Linked DNA regions of Canis lupus familiaris. The protein of the gene in region 1 interacts with the protein of each later gene in a pairwise test. Links are inferred from orthologs where the notes say so. Each region holds a gene or a part of one and is shown on either strand. Other genes may lie near its edges.

What was found.
Region 2: the proteins of LNX1 (region 1) and RUVBL2 interact in binary tests that used the Homo sapiens proteins (3 or more experiments, as listed by UniProt). The two-hybrid records come from large-scale screens. The link is inferred for Canis lupus familiaris from reciprocal best matches to the Homo sapiens genes LNX1 and RUVBL2.

The regions. Positions count from the first base shown.
Region 1 is NC_049234.1:46,944,372-46,948,347, forward strand, and holds the start of LNX1 (E3 ubiquitin-protein ligase LNX), read right to left. Parts: upstream 2,801-3,976; 5' UTR 2,069-2,800; intron 1-2,068.
Region 2 is NC_049222.1:108,059,299-108,067,404, reverse strand, and holds part of RUVBL2 (ruvB-like 2), read left to right. Parts: intron 1-566; coding exon 567-696; intron 697-860; coding exon 861-927; intron 928-3,611; coding exon 3,612-3,718; intron 3,719-3,806; coding exon 3,807-3,900; intron 3,901-4,289; coding exon 4,290-4,413; intron 4,414-4,761; coding exon 4,762-4,856; intron 4,857-4,955; coding exon 4,956-5,074; intron 5,075-7,464; coding exon 7,465-7,584; intron 7,585-8,017; coding exon 8,018-8,106. UniProt on the Homo sapiens protein: Possesses single-stranded DNA-stimulated ATPase and ATP-dependent DNA helicase (5' to 3') activity; hexamerization is thought to be critical for ATP hydrolysis and adjacent subunits in the ring-like structure contribute to the ATPase activity.

The sequences.
Region 1 (3,976 bases):
ACACATACGTACGTCTATGCTTCATCTATATCTGTATCTCCATCTACATGTAATGCATATGCTAGGTTGGAATCGTGTTTTCCAGACTTTCCAGAACACAGGCACCCAGAGGCTGCTTTGGGCGGACAAAATTTGGAGTGGCTGCTCCAGAAGCAGGCTCAGGGTCTGTCTGCGACAGGCTGGCACTCTGATGAGGTGCAGAGGAGAAATATTCTCCTTCCACTCACCTAGTGAAGGATGGAGAGATTCCTGAATAAGTAGATATCCACGCGGTGCTGTGTATGTGGCTGGGGGTGAAACTGGGATTCAAAATCACATCGGCGCAGCTCCTTTCACTATCTTCACTGAGATAGTCCTTCACTACCTGCCTACACAACAGGGCCTCTACTGGGAAACGTCTTCCCGCCTCCCCCAACAGGCCCAGAATACCTACAGATGATCCCTCTGTCTGTGGTCCCAGGGCATTACTGCACCGCACGTAGCTGGTTGCACACAACTAATTCACAATGTTTGATCAAATTGAGAGTAGAGCTCCTCTCATCTGCACTCCTAGTATCTCCCATGGAAGCAGGCATGGGGTAATTAAATAGTATTTTTGAGCGCTCATTACGTGCCAGCAAAGGCTTTACATGCATTCTCTCATTTAAACCTTAAGACAACTCCATGAACGAGGTGATACTATTATTCCCATTTTGCCTTTCAGAACACTGAGGTCATAAGAGTTAACTGGATTAACTCCAGGGCACAGAGCGAGTGGAAAATAGTACCGAGATTCAAGTCTAATTCCCAGAATGTGCTCTTCGTCGCCTGTTCTGTTGTCACCATCTTGCTCTGAATGTTCCATGAGCAAATTCCTACTGTGGGGAGTGGTCCCAATCTGAAAAGCTCCCCCTCAGTCAAAGTCCCCTCTTTATGCCAAGCTCAAGTGTGAAGCTCCTGTCCCGTGGAGAGTCTTCTCATGTACGACCTCCACCCTCGGCCCCCACAGTGCATTCCTTCAGCACGCCTTGGCCACATGGTTTGCACCGTGCTCCGATATGTGGCCCAGTGCTGGGCACCCAGAATGCAGCTTATCAACATTTGGTGAACTGGATTCGGCGCCCAGGGATGGATGTAAACAGCGATAAATAACAAGGTGGCATATCGTACTGGATACTCTATTTCTGGATTTTCTAGGCGAATGAGTTCCAATTTCTAAAATCCTATCCTCCCATCGGATCATTGGCCACAGAATATGTGGCAGAGAATATAGCCTGGTATTTTGGTTTGAAGAAGCACCTGGCTGGCTCAGTCTGTTGAGCATCCAATTCTAAATTTCGGCTCCGGTGGTGATCTTGGGGTCATGCTCGGCAGGGAGTCTGCTTGAGGATTCTCTCCCTCCTCCCTCGCCCCTCCCCATGCTCTTGCTCTCTAAATAAGTAAGTAAATAAATAAATCCTTAAAAAAAAAAAGGTAGAGTCACCGTTCTACTGCAAAGAGGCAGGAATAGAGACAGGATGTGCCCTCTGTTACTCACCTACCCACATGTTGGCAGGCAAGTCAAATTTCCCTGGACCTAAGTCTCTCCGTGAGTAAAACTGCAATGGCAATACCTATTTCCACTACAGAAATGAAGCAAAATAGGTGAATATGTTTCGGATACTGATGAGGAATAATGTTATATGAATCCAATTACTGTTAGTGGGGTTGTTTATGTTTTTACTGACCTGTTGGACCAGTAAAAAACAAACAAACAAAAAACCCCAACAAAATAAAAGAAGCAGTTTTTAGTTTTGAAAATGAAGGAAGAAGTTTCTTGTGAAGAGTAGCGCAATAAAAAAAAATCAGGTATTAAAAATGTAGATATCCTGAGGGCCTTTCTGGAGTGTTTTGAAAAAGACATACCTAGACATTCTAGCTTTTGGCTGTCTTCAACAACTTGGAGGGGCGGTGTGGTGGGTGCTGGGGGGTGGGTGGTCGGGCTAAGGGTGGGAGGCTGGGCTGGGAGAGTTAGGAGCAAAGTGTCTCAAATCGCAAAGTGTCTCAAATCACATGAGATGTTCCCTGGAGGGGGAGGCGGGACTCTTACCTTTGCTGCACGGTGAACCGGTTCCCAGTCGTGTGAGGCCTCGGGTGGGGGGCAGTCCGCTTGGGAGCTGATCTTCTGTGGCCCAGGGAGATTTTCTCTCTCTTTCCTGTGTCTCCTCTTCCAGACAGGCATGAAAACCATTCGGCCTTGGAGGTAATCAGCTCACCTCCTGCCCCTTTTGCAAGGCTTTGTGTCATGCTGATCCATGAACCCGAGAGCAGCCTCCCAGGAGCTTCCAGGGAGAGCAGCCCCCCCACCGAGCAGCGCTCATTAGCATCAGTGACTAATCTGTTCTGGTCTGGAAGGGGCCCAGGCTCCCTTGACCGTCCCTGTGCTCTCAGGAAAAGCCAGGATCCTTTTGTTCACCTTTCGGCCTGCCAAGTCAGTCCTACCGCACCCCTGAATGTTGTTTTCCTGCAGGCAATGGGAAAATGAGCTGGGAGCCAGAGAAGGGAAATCAACAAGGAAGTAAACACAGGGTTCACTGCACCTTCAGGTCCAGGTCGTCCCCAGGGCCTGGGACATCCTCGTGCTGGGACCAGTTCCTCAACAGGCAGGGGCTGCTGCCTGGACGGGCCTCAGAACCCTGGGCGTCTTCTTATTTTTAATTATGCAGAGAAGCATGAGCTGAAATGGGTATCAGACAAATCAAGGCATCCCGACTCGTTCCACGGCCTTGCCAAGACTTTAAAAGATTTTCCATAGGCAGCATCTCTTATAACGGAACACGGCCTGATGTTTGTCAGACAAAGAAGAAAAAGATGAGCAAGTTCATGGCTGATATTAGTTAAGACCTTTAACTCTAAAGAGACAGGACTGTTGTTTAAATAAAAGGTAAAAAAAAATAAAATAAAAAAAGCAGTTTTTATTTTTGAAAACGAAGGAAGAAGTTTCTCGTGAAGACTAGCACAATAAAAAAAAAATCAGGTTTAAATAAAGGTTTCTCCTACTTACTCGTGAACAGCGGGGTCAGCATCCGCAGCCCAGCAGCATCTCTGCCAACATCTGTCGAGGGCTGACTGGCTGCAGGGTCCTGTGCCATGGCCTGACCTGCATTATTATCTCATTTACTTCTCCACATAGTCCTACAGTTATCATTCCCATCGTATAGGCGAAGAAACGAAGGATTCGAGAGCAAAGTGCTCCGGCCAAGCGCTCCAGAGAGGTGTGAATGGAAAAATTGCCCTTTTGGAAGTGTGGCCTTCCCCACCAGTCAGCTTCAGGACTTCTGTTCACTGGCATCTCTGGCGATGGCCAAAGAGCTTGCTCCCTGGGGCTGTGAGTTCGATGCCATCTTTATATAACTTGTTTGTAGCACACACCGGGCTGGGCACCTCCTCTTGTCTCAACCACAGTGGGGCTGCTGGCTGCTATAGACCCGGCTCCCCCCTTGGGGCTCCTATTTACGCACAAGGAAGTGGGCTACAAATCTCTGGGCCTCTCTGTGTGCTTTGATCATGGTCTGATTGTGAGTATGCCCTTCTGGTTTTAGGAGCCTAACAGTTATGAGCTTCTTTTAATCAATAATCCAAGGGATGAATGACAAGGAGTTCACAGCCTGAAAACCTCTCCCTGGTGAGAAAAAAAAAAAAAAACACAAACCAGCACATGTGTTCCCAGTCCTCAGGTCACACTGCAACGTGTTTTGGTTTTATTGGCCTCCTCCTTACTTCCAATTGTTAGCATTTAGCTCTCCTGTGCCACGGCGGTTCCCCGGGACAGCTGGCCGCTGGTCAAAGGAAAGTAAAACCGTTAATTAGGAGACAAGGAGATGCCTCCCAGCGGGGTCAAAGTTGTCTGTTTTTGTAAATATAGGAGTTGCGACATCAGGGCAGTTGCTCACCCTTGTTACCCTGGGGTTGGTTTGGGTGGAGCTTTGGGGTGTCTGGCTCTGAGGCCACATAGGCC
Region 2 (8,106 bases), on another chromosome or scaffold:
CCAGGCCAGACAGAAGACCTGTCCCTGGGCTGGTTACAGGTCATGTGATGGGTTCATGGTTGAGCACCAGTGCATGCCTGCCACCCCCAGATCGCTTCTCTGCAGGTGCGGTCCCACACCAGCACTTGTTCTGTTGTGGTCCTCATTATACAGAGATACAAACAGACAAGACTTCTCAGGATCACATGGTGCTAAGCGGTGGAACCGGGATTCGAACCTAGGTGGTCTGGCTCTAGAGCCACCACCCTTAACTACTCTTTCAGTCCTCTTTTGGCCTTGATTCCTGCTCATTACCCCCAAGCCTAAAAGGCTAAACAACTTCTAAAGCCCTGGCGAGGTTATAGGGTCATGAAATTGACCTTCTGGTCAGCATGGGGTTCGAGTCCAGGTCTTCTATGTAGCCCGCCATCCCTGGCTTTCTCCATGTCTCCCTGTCTGCCCCCAACACTGTGTGTATTTCACCTACGCTACTTCCTGAGGAGGGAGAAGAGCTGGTTTGACACAGAATAGGTGTTGGGGACCTGGTGCCAGGCTGTCCCCACTTACCCAGACCACCTCTTCCCCAGGCATGGCACAGGCCCTGGGCCCTGACACCCCGTTCACAGCCATCGCGGGCAGTGAGATCTTCTCGCTGGAGATGAGTAAGACAGAGGCACTGACCCAGGCCTTCCGGCGCTCTATTGGCGTTCGAATCAAGTAAGCACAGGACCCGGTGTGGGGGATGGAGTTAGCTTGCAGTGGCCTTGGGATGACCCCTGCCTGCCCTGTCCGGCTTGTCCCATGCCTAAGGGCTCATGGGAGTTAGCCATTTGCAAGGGCCTGGGCCTCGGGCTCTCTGCTCACATCCGTTTTCCGCCTAGGGAGGAGACTGAGATCATTGAAGGGGAAGTGGTGGAGATCCAGATTGACCGTCCAGCCACAGGGACGGTGAGTCTGCTGCTGAGCCTGGGCCACCTCCAGGGCTGGAGGATGGGGTGCCAGAACCCAAGGGATGTTGGATGTTTGAGCTGCAGGTCAGAGCCCTCTACTGTGTACTGTGGGGGTCATTGACAGTTTATCCACTTTTTTTTTTTAAGATTTTATTTATTTATTCATGAGAGACACAGAGAGAGAGAGGCAGAGACACAGGCAGAGGGAGAAGCAGGCTCCATGCAGGGAGCCTGACACGGGACTCGATCCTGGGTCTCCAGGATCACGCCCTGGGCTGAAGGTGGCGCTAAACCACTGAGCCACCCAGGCGCCCCAGTTTATCCACTTGTGAGTGACGCCCTGAGCCGTTAAAAGCAAGTGGTGTCATGACAGAGAAGGTCTGGAAGTTCCTCACACTTAAATTTTTTTTTTAACTTTTATTTATTTAAATCATCTCTGCCTACAACATGCGGGGCTCAAACTCATGACCCCAAGATCAAGAGTTGCATGCTGTTCTCACTGAGCCAGCCAGGTGTCCCTCTCACAGTTCGTTCTTTCTTTCTTTTTCTTTTTTAAAATTTATCTTAAATAAAATAATTTAAATTCAGTTTGCCAACATGTCATGGTAAACACCTAGTGTTCATCTCACAGTTAATGGTTAGGCTTAAGAACCTGTTCTGTGAGATTTTATGCAGCTTAGCCCTAAAAGGTGTTTCCTATCCAGCTTACATGGTCATGGTGATTTGCTCCCTTTTTTTTTTTTTCAGCTAAGAATTTTAACTTTTTTTTTTTTTTTTTTAAGATTTATTTATTCATGAGAGACACAGAGAGAGAGAGGCAGAGACATAGGGAGAGGGAGAAGCAGGCTTCTCACAGGGAACCTGATGCGGTACTCGATCCCAGGACCCTGGGATCACAACCTGAGCCACAGGCAGATAGATGCTCGACCACGGAGCCACCCAAATGCCCCAACATTTTTGTTGTAAATTGCAACAGATGTAAAGAAGCACGTAAAATAAGCGAATGGTCTAGTATGTTATTATAAAACAAATCTCCTTAGAACTACCACCAAGATAAGAAATTAGAACTTTGAAGAAAAAAAAAAAAAAAAGAACTTTGCCAGCTCCCATCCCTACCTCATTGCTCTTTCTACAACACCCCACATCCTCACAAGGGTGGCTGCCCTTGCCTGTTTTCACTTCTTGGGTGTCATTGGTTTTATCACCCAGCAATGCATTCCCATGCATTAGTCAAGATTGCCCATTTTTAAGATTTCTTTTTTCTTTTCTTTTTTTTTAATAGAGAGCATAAGTGGGGGCACAGGGAGAGGGAGAGGCAGATTTCCTGCTGAGCAGGGAGCCAGAGCTGGGGCTTGATCCCAGGACTCCGGGATCATGACCTGAGCCAAAGTCAGATGCTTAACCAAGTGAGCCACCCGGGTGCCTCTGATGTAAAGATTATGTAAATAAATCGATAAATCTTTAAAATATAATAAAATAAAAATGTAAAACCAAAACCATCTCTCTCTTCCTCCTGAATTCCAGCCCTTTTGTCCTGCCATCTTTCCCTACAAAAAGAACAGCTCACTAGAAATAAGAGACAAGTGGATGTGCTGGAAGACACTGACTGTGCTTATTTTGTGGGGAGAAAGTGTGGTATTTTTGTTTTCTTAGCTGTGTTTAGCTTAGCTCTGTTTTCTGGGTTTGTGACTAATAAAAAAAAAAAAAAAACACAAGTTACGTGGACATAAAACAAGGAATGTTAGAGTGTGGCACACTCCCACCTCCCCACATCAGGGCCCTCTAGTCCATGTTGCTGTTCTTAAAGACTTTATCTTTTAGGTAAGTTGTTGTTTGTTATCTTCCTGGGTTTTTAGTAATCGGTTTGTTGAGCAACCAACAAACAATAAGCTGCACACAGTGAAAGTACAGGATGTTGGGGCACCAGGGTGGCTTGGTAGTGCGTCTGACGCTTGGTTTCTTTTCTTTTATTTATTTATTTATTTTTTTAAATAAAGATTTTATTTATTTATTCATGGGAGACACAGAGAGAGAGAGAGGCAGAGACACAGGCAGAGGGAGAAGCGGACTCCATGCAGGGAGCCCAATGTGGGACTCAATCCTAGGACCCTGGGATCACGACCTGAGCCAAAGGCAAACACTCAACCATTAAGCCACTCAGGCATCCCTGAAGCTTGGTTTCATCTCAGGTCATGATCTCACGATTTCATGGTCATGGGATTGAGTACTGCGTTGGTCTCTGCACTCAGTGCAGAGTCTGTGTCAGATTCTTCCTCGCTTCCTCCCTGCTGCCCGTCTCTCACTCTTTTTTTTTTTTTTTTTTTTTTAAGATGTTTTAAATTTATTCATGAGAGACACAGAGAGCAAGGCAGAGACATAGGCAGAGGGAGAAGCAAGTTCCCTGTGGGGAGCCTGATGTAGACTTGATCCCAGGACCTGGAGATCATGACCTGAGCCAAAGGCAGATAGATTCTCAACCACTGAGCCCCACCAGTGCCTCTCCCTCCCTCAAATAAATAAATAAATAAATAATTTTTAAAAGAGTTTATAGGATGTTAAGTTTTGACATATCCACAGTCCATTGCCCCCTAAAGCATCCCTGTGTCATGCCCATTTCCAAGCTGTGTTGGGGAGACAATGGGCCCCCTCTGAACTCCTTGGCTGGCCTGTCACCCATCTCAGGGCTCTAAGGTCGGCAAGCTGACCCTCAAGACCACAGAGATGGAGACTATATACGACCTGGGCACCAAGATGATTGAGTCCCTGACTAAGGACAAGGTCCAGGCTGGGTGAGTGGCAGGGGGCCATGGTAGGTGGTCAGGGTGGGGGAATCTCGAGCCCTTTCATGTCCTCACTCCCACCCTCCTCCACATGCAGGGATGTGATTACCATCGACAAGGCCACAGGCAAGATCTCCAAGCTGGGCCGCTCCTTCACACGCGCTCGCGACTATGATGCCATGGGCTCCCAGGTGGGCCAGGGCTTTGGGGGTCCGCTCACTCCAGGCACCAGGATGTTTGCATCTCCTCTATCACCCCCATGGCCCAGAGGGTCCGGATCCTCCAGTAGCCCCACCCCATGTCCCTTACTCCTGGTTCTTCCCTGTACCCACCAGGACAAGGAGGGCACTTCATCTTTGCAGTTTGCTCATGGTTTCTGAGGTCCTCCAGTAACCTCCGATCCTTCAGTGCTCTCGAGTGCCCTGGTGGTAACTTCCTCTTGGACCTGGGATTTCTGGATTCTTAGCTCTACCCCAGGAAGTCCAATCTCCCCCAACTCTCCACCCAGACAGCCCCTTTGGGCCCCCTTTCATGTTCTTCTTTACTCTTACCTCTCCCTCCCTGCCCCCTGGCCCCATAGACCAAGTTTGTGCAGTGTCCAGACGGAGAGCTCCAGAAACGCAAGGAGGTCGTACACACCGTGTCCCTGCATGAGATTGATGTCATCAACTCCCGCACCCAGGGCTTCCTGGCTCTCTTCTCAGGTGAGGCCCAGCAGGCTGGCTCTGTTCATGGCACACACTGCTCCTCCTACCTCCAGTACAGCCCCCTGGTTCGTCCTACCCACACTGTTGCCCTCATTCCCTCTTGGATAGTCCCAATGGGGGCTTGCATGTCCTACCCTCTCTTCTTCCTGGGTTCTTTGCCTCGGGTCTTCTTCTCTGGGACATTGCAGACCGAATGAGACACTCCTTCTGTCACTTTGCCACTCCAGTTTTGATCTCTCTTCCCTCTATCCCTGGTGTCCCATCTTCATTTCTCTCTGTCCACTCTCCGGCCCTCTGTCCCTGTCTCCTCTCTGACACTCCCTGTGTCACCCCCACCTCCTTCAGGCGACACAGGGGAGATCAAGTCAGAAGTCCGAGAGCAGATCAATGCCAAGGTGGCCGAGTGGCGTGAGGAGGGCAAGGCTGAGATCATCCCTGGCGTGAGTACCAGGGTGTGGCCAGGGCAGGCGGCTCACAGTGAGAGCAAATGGGAGGAAAGAGGCTTGGGTAGGTTTGACACATGCCCCAATGGCTCCCAGGTGCTGTTTATCGACGAGGTCCACATGCTGGACATTGAGAGCTTCTCCTTCCTCAATCGGGCCCTGGAGAGTGACATGGCGCCCGTCCTCATCATGGCCACCAACCGAGGCATCACCCGGTGAGCCAGCTGCTGGCCTCCCCAGAGGTCTCTGGGAGAAACAGGGTGCTCCAGGTAGTGGGTATGGGCACAGGGTAAACAGGGAATGTTTGTTGAGTTCCCTGTCAGGAAGGGTATGGACTTAGCTGGTGTCACAAGGCTATCCATGTACGGGGGCCTAGACAAAGTTTGTCTTTTAGCTTCTCCCTAAAACAAAGCAGGCGGGTGCTCAGGGCGGTAGGCAGGCAGTTCTGCTCCATCAGGAAGTTGAGGATCATGTTCTTTCTGTATTTTAGTTCCTGTAGCCCTTGAGGCTCAAGTTCCCAAACTGTGTGCCAAGGCATGCCAGGATGCTGCTGAAAACACATGAGTGCTCTGGGATGTTCTGAGTTTTCTTTTCTTTTCTTTTCTTTTCTTTTCTTTTCTTTTCTTTTCTTTTCTTTCTTTTCTTTCTTTTCTTTTTTCTTTTCTTTTCTTTTCTTTCTTCTTTCTTCTTTCTTTTTTTAATGATTTTATTTATTTATTCATGAGAGACACAGAGGCAGAGACACAGGCAGAGGGAGAAGCAGGCTCCATGTAGGGAGCCTGATGTGGGACTCGATCCTTGGCCTCCAGGATCACGCCCTGAACCGAAGGCAGATGCCAAACCGCTGAGCCACCTAGGCGTCCCATGTTTTGAGTTTCTGAGGGATGCACAGAGACAGATGTGTTTGACACTGCCTGCATCACTACAGTTAGGTCATTTAGCCCTAACGACCTTATAGAACAAAACTTAATATTGCTTTTGGCCTAAGAATGCCGGGGGAAAATTTTAGAGCCATGGAGCTCACCTGGTTCTGGGAATCTGTGCCCTAGGGTGTTGCCAGCACCTCTCGTCCTGTTGTCCCAGCTGGTCTTCTTCTCTGCCTCATCTGTATTTTGGTGGACAGGGAGAAGGAAGTGGGTGGTAAACAGCTCCCCTGGGAAGCTGGGGCCTGGAGGGTGCACTTAGCACTTCCACCGTCACCCACTGCCCAGCACCACCCTGGCTGCTCTGGAAGCTGAGGAATGTCTTCTCCAGTGCTGTGGCCATGTGGCAGCTAAAACTGGTCGGTAGAGGGTGGCCATCATTACAGAGGACAAAGGGGCAGATTTTCTGTGGCTTGTTTCCTGGGTGAACAGCTCTGACCCTTAAAAGAAGTTCAGGAGGTGGATATTGTCTCAGCCCCACGTTACAGAGGATAGCAAGGCCTGGTGACGTGCCTGAGGTTGCATGGAGAAGGTGTCAGAGCCAGAGTTGCCTCTCCTAACGAAGATAGGAAGGGGCCAGCTGAGGGTAAATGTATGGCAGCTGCACGCGGGGCACATCCTGGGCCAGGGCACAAACCCAAGTCGCTCCTCTGTTATCTGCATAAAATGTATTCTTGAGTCTACTACGTACTCTCACTTAAATGGATTTGTAAGCCCCTCTCCCCTACCCCCCCCCCCCCATCAGTGCTGGCAACTCTGGTGCTCCTGTGTGACTGGGTGTGGACCCTCTAATCTAAGGTCCAGCAAGTTGGCGCCCTGCCTGCTTTCTGGTTACAGCTCACCTGCTGTAAATGAGTGTCCTTTTCTTTCTTTCTTTCTTTCTTTTTTTTTTTTTTTTTTTTTTTTTTTGAGTGTCCTTTTCATGCCGTGTTATCTGCTTTTTATTAATGATTTGGGATTTAAAAGGGCCCCCTAGTTGCCCAGGCACAAGGCGAGGATGGATGTGCCTTACAGAGAAAGTGTGTGTGTCAGATGAGCTTCGTTCCAGGCATGATGTAGAGTGCTGTCTGCCACGAGTTCAATGCGAGTGGGTCAGTAGTGTATGCTAAATAAGATGTCTTTAAACAGAAGCACGTAGAACCAGGTTATATATTGGTTGGTTGACAAAAATACTGTGACCAAAGGCTCACAAGAACCTACCACATACATCTCCAAGAAGCAGTGGTTCATCATTTGCTAGTGAGTGTCTGCCCCCCCCCCCCCCCCCCACTTAATAGAATGTCACTACCACAAATTACAAGAATCCACTCTCTCCTGGCACTGCCATGTGCCAGGGCCTGCTCTGGGCCAGGTGCAGCACGAATAGCACAGAATAGGACCATCACAGTCTCTTACCTGTGGAGCTCTATGTCAAGCAGAGGAGTGAGACCTTGACTCAGTAATCCTGGATATAGATACCTAGCTCAGACCAACCCAGTTTTCTGTGGGCGGGGGTGGTGACACAGCTGGGGGACAGCTGCACAGTTGGTGATGACAGTAGCCATGAGCTGAAGGTTAGGTGATATTTGCCCAGTGAGTGGGCTGTGATGGAGAGGGTGGGTGGGGTATTTTAAGTAGAGGAAATGGAGACCTGGGTTCTGGGAGCATCACCCTGACCACCCTCCCTTTCTCCTCTTCCCCAGGATCCGGGGTACCAGCTACCAGAGCCCCCATGGCATCCCCATCGACCTACTAGACCGACTGCTCATTGTCTCCACCTCTCCCTACAGTGAGAAGGACACAAAGCAGATCCTACGCATCCGGTATGGGCAGGGCCGCCTGGGGTTCTGGGGCAGGACCAGGCTACGGGTCTGAGAAGCAGGGCTGGCACCCACCCTATTTGGCAAGTGGAGGCAGTGAGGTCTGAAGGGGTAGGTCTCTGGGCCTGCAGGAGGTAGGGCTGGGCTGGGCTGGGCAACCAAGCAATGGCCTCAGATCTGGTGGTGGGCCAGTGGCTGACACTGGGGAAAGAGCCCTGGCTGGAGAGGGTTGGAAGCCCAGGTGACAGGTCCAGCCCATGCCTCAGTGGCCCTTCTTGCTTGCCGTTCTGTGGTTCTGTGAACATAGACTCCACATGTCCCCCAGGACTTCAACAGCGCCCAGGGGGAAGCGCCAGCCAGGGGTTTGCTGCAGTCAGAGCCCTGGCCCTGGCTGACCACACCCCACCCCACCCCACCCCGCCCCACCTGCCCACAGGTGTGAAGAGGAAGACGTAGAAATGAGTGAGGACGCCTACACGGTGCTGACGCGCATCGGCCTGGAGACCTCATTACGCTACGCCATCC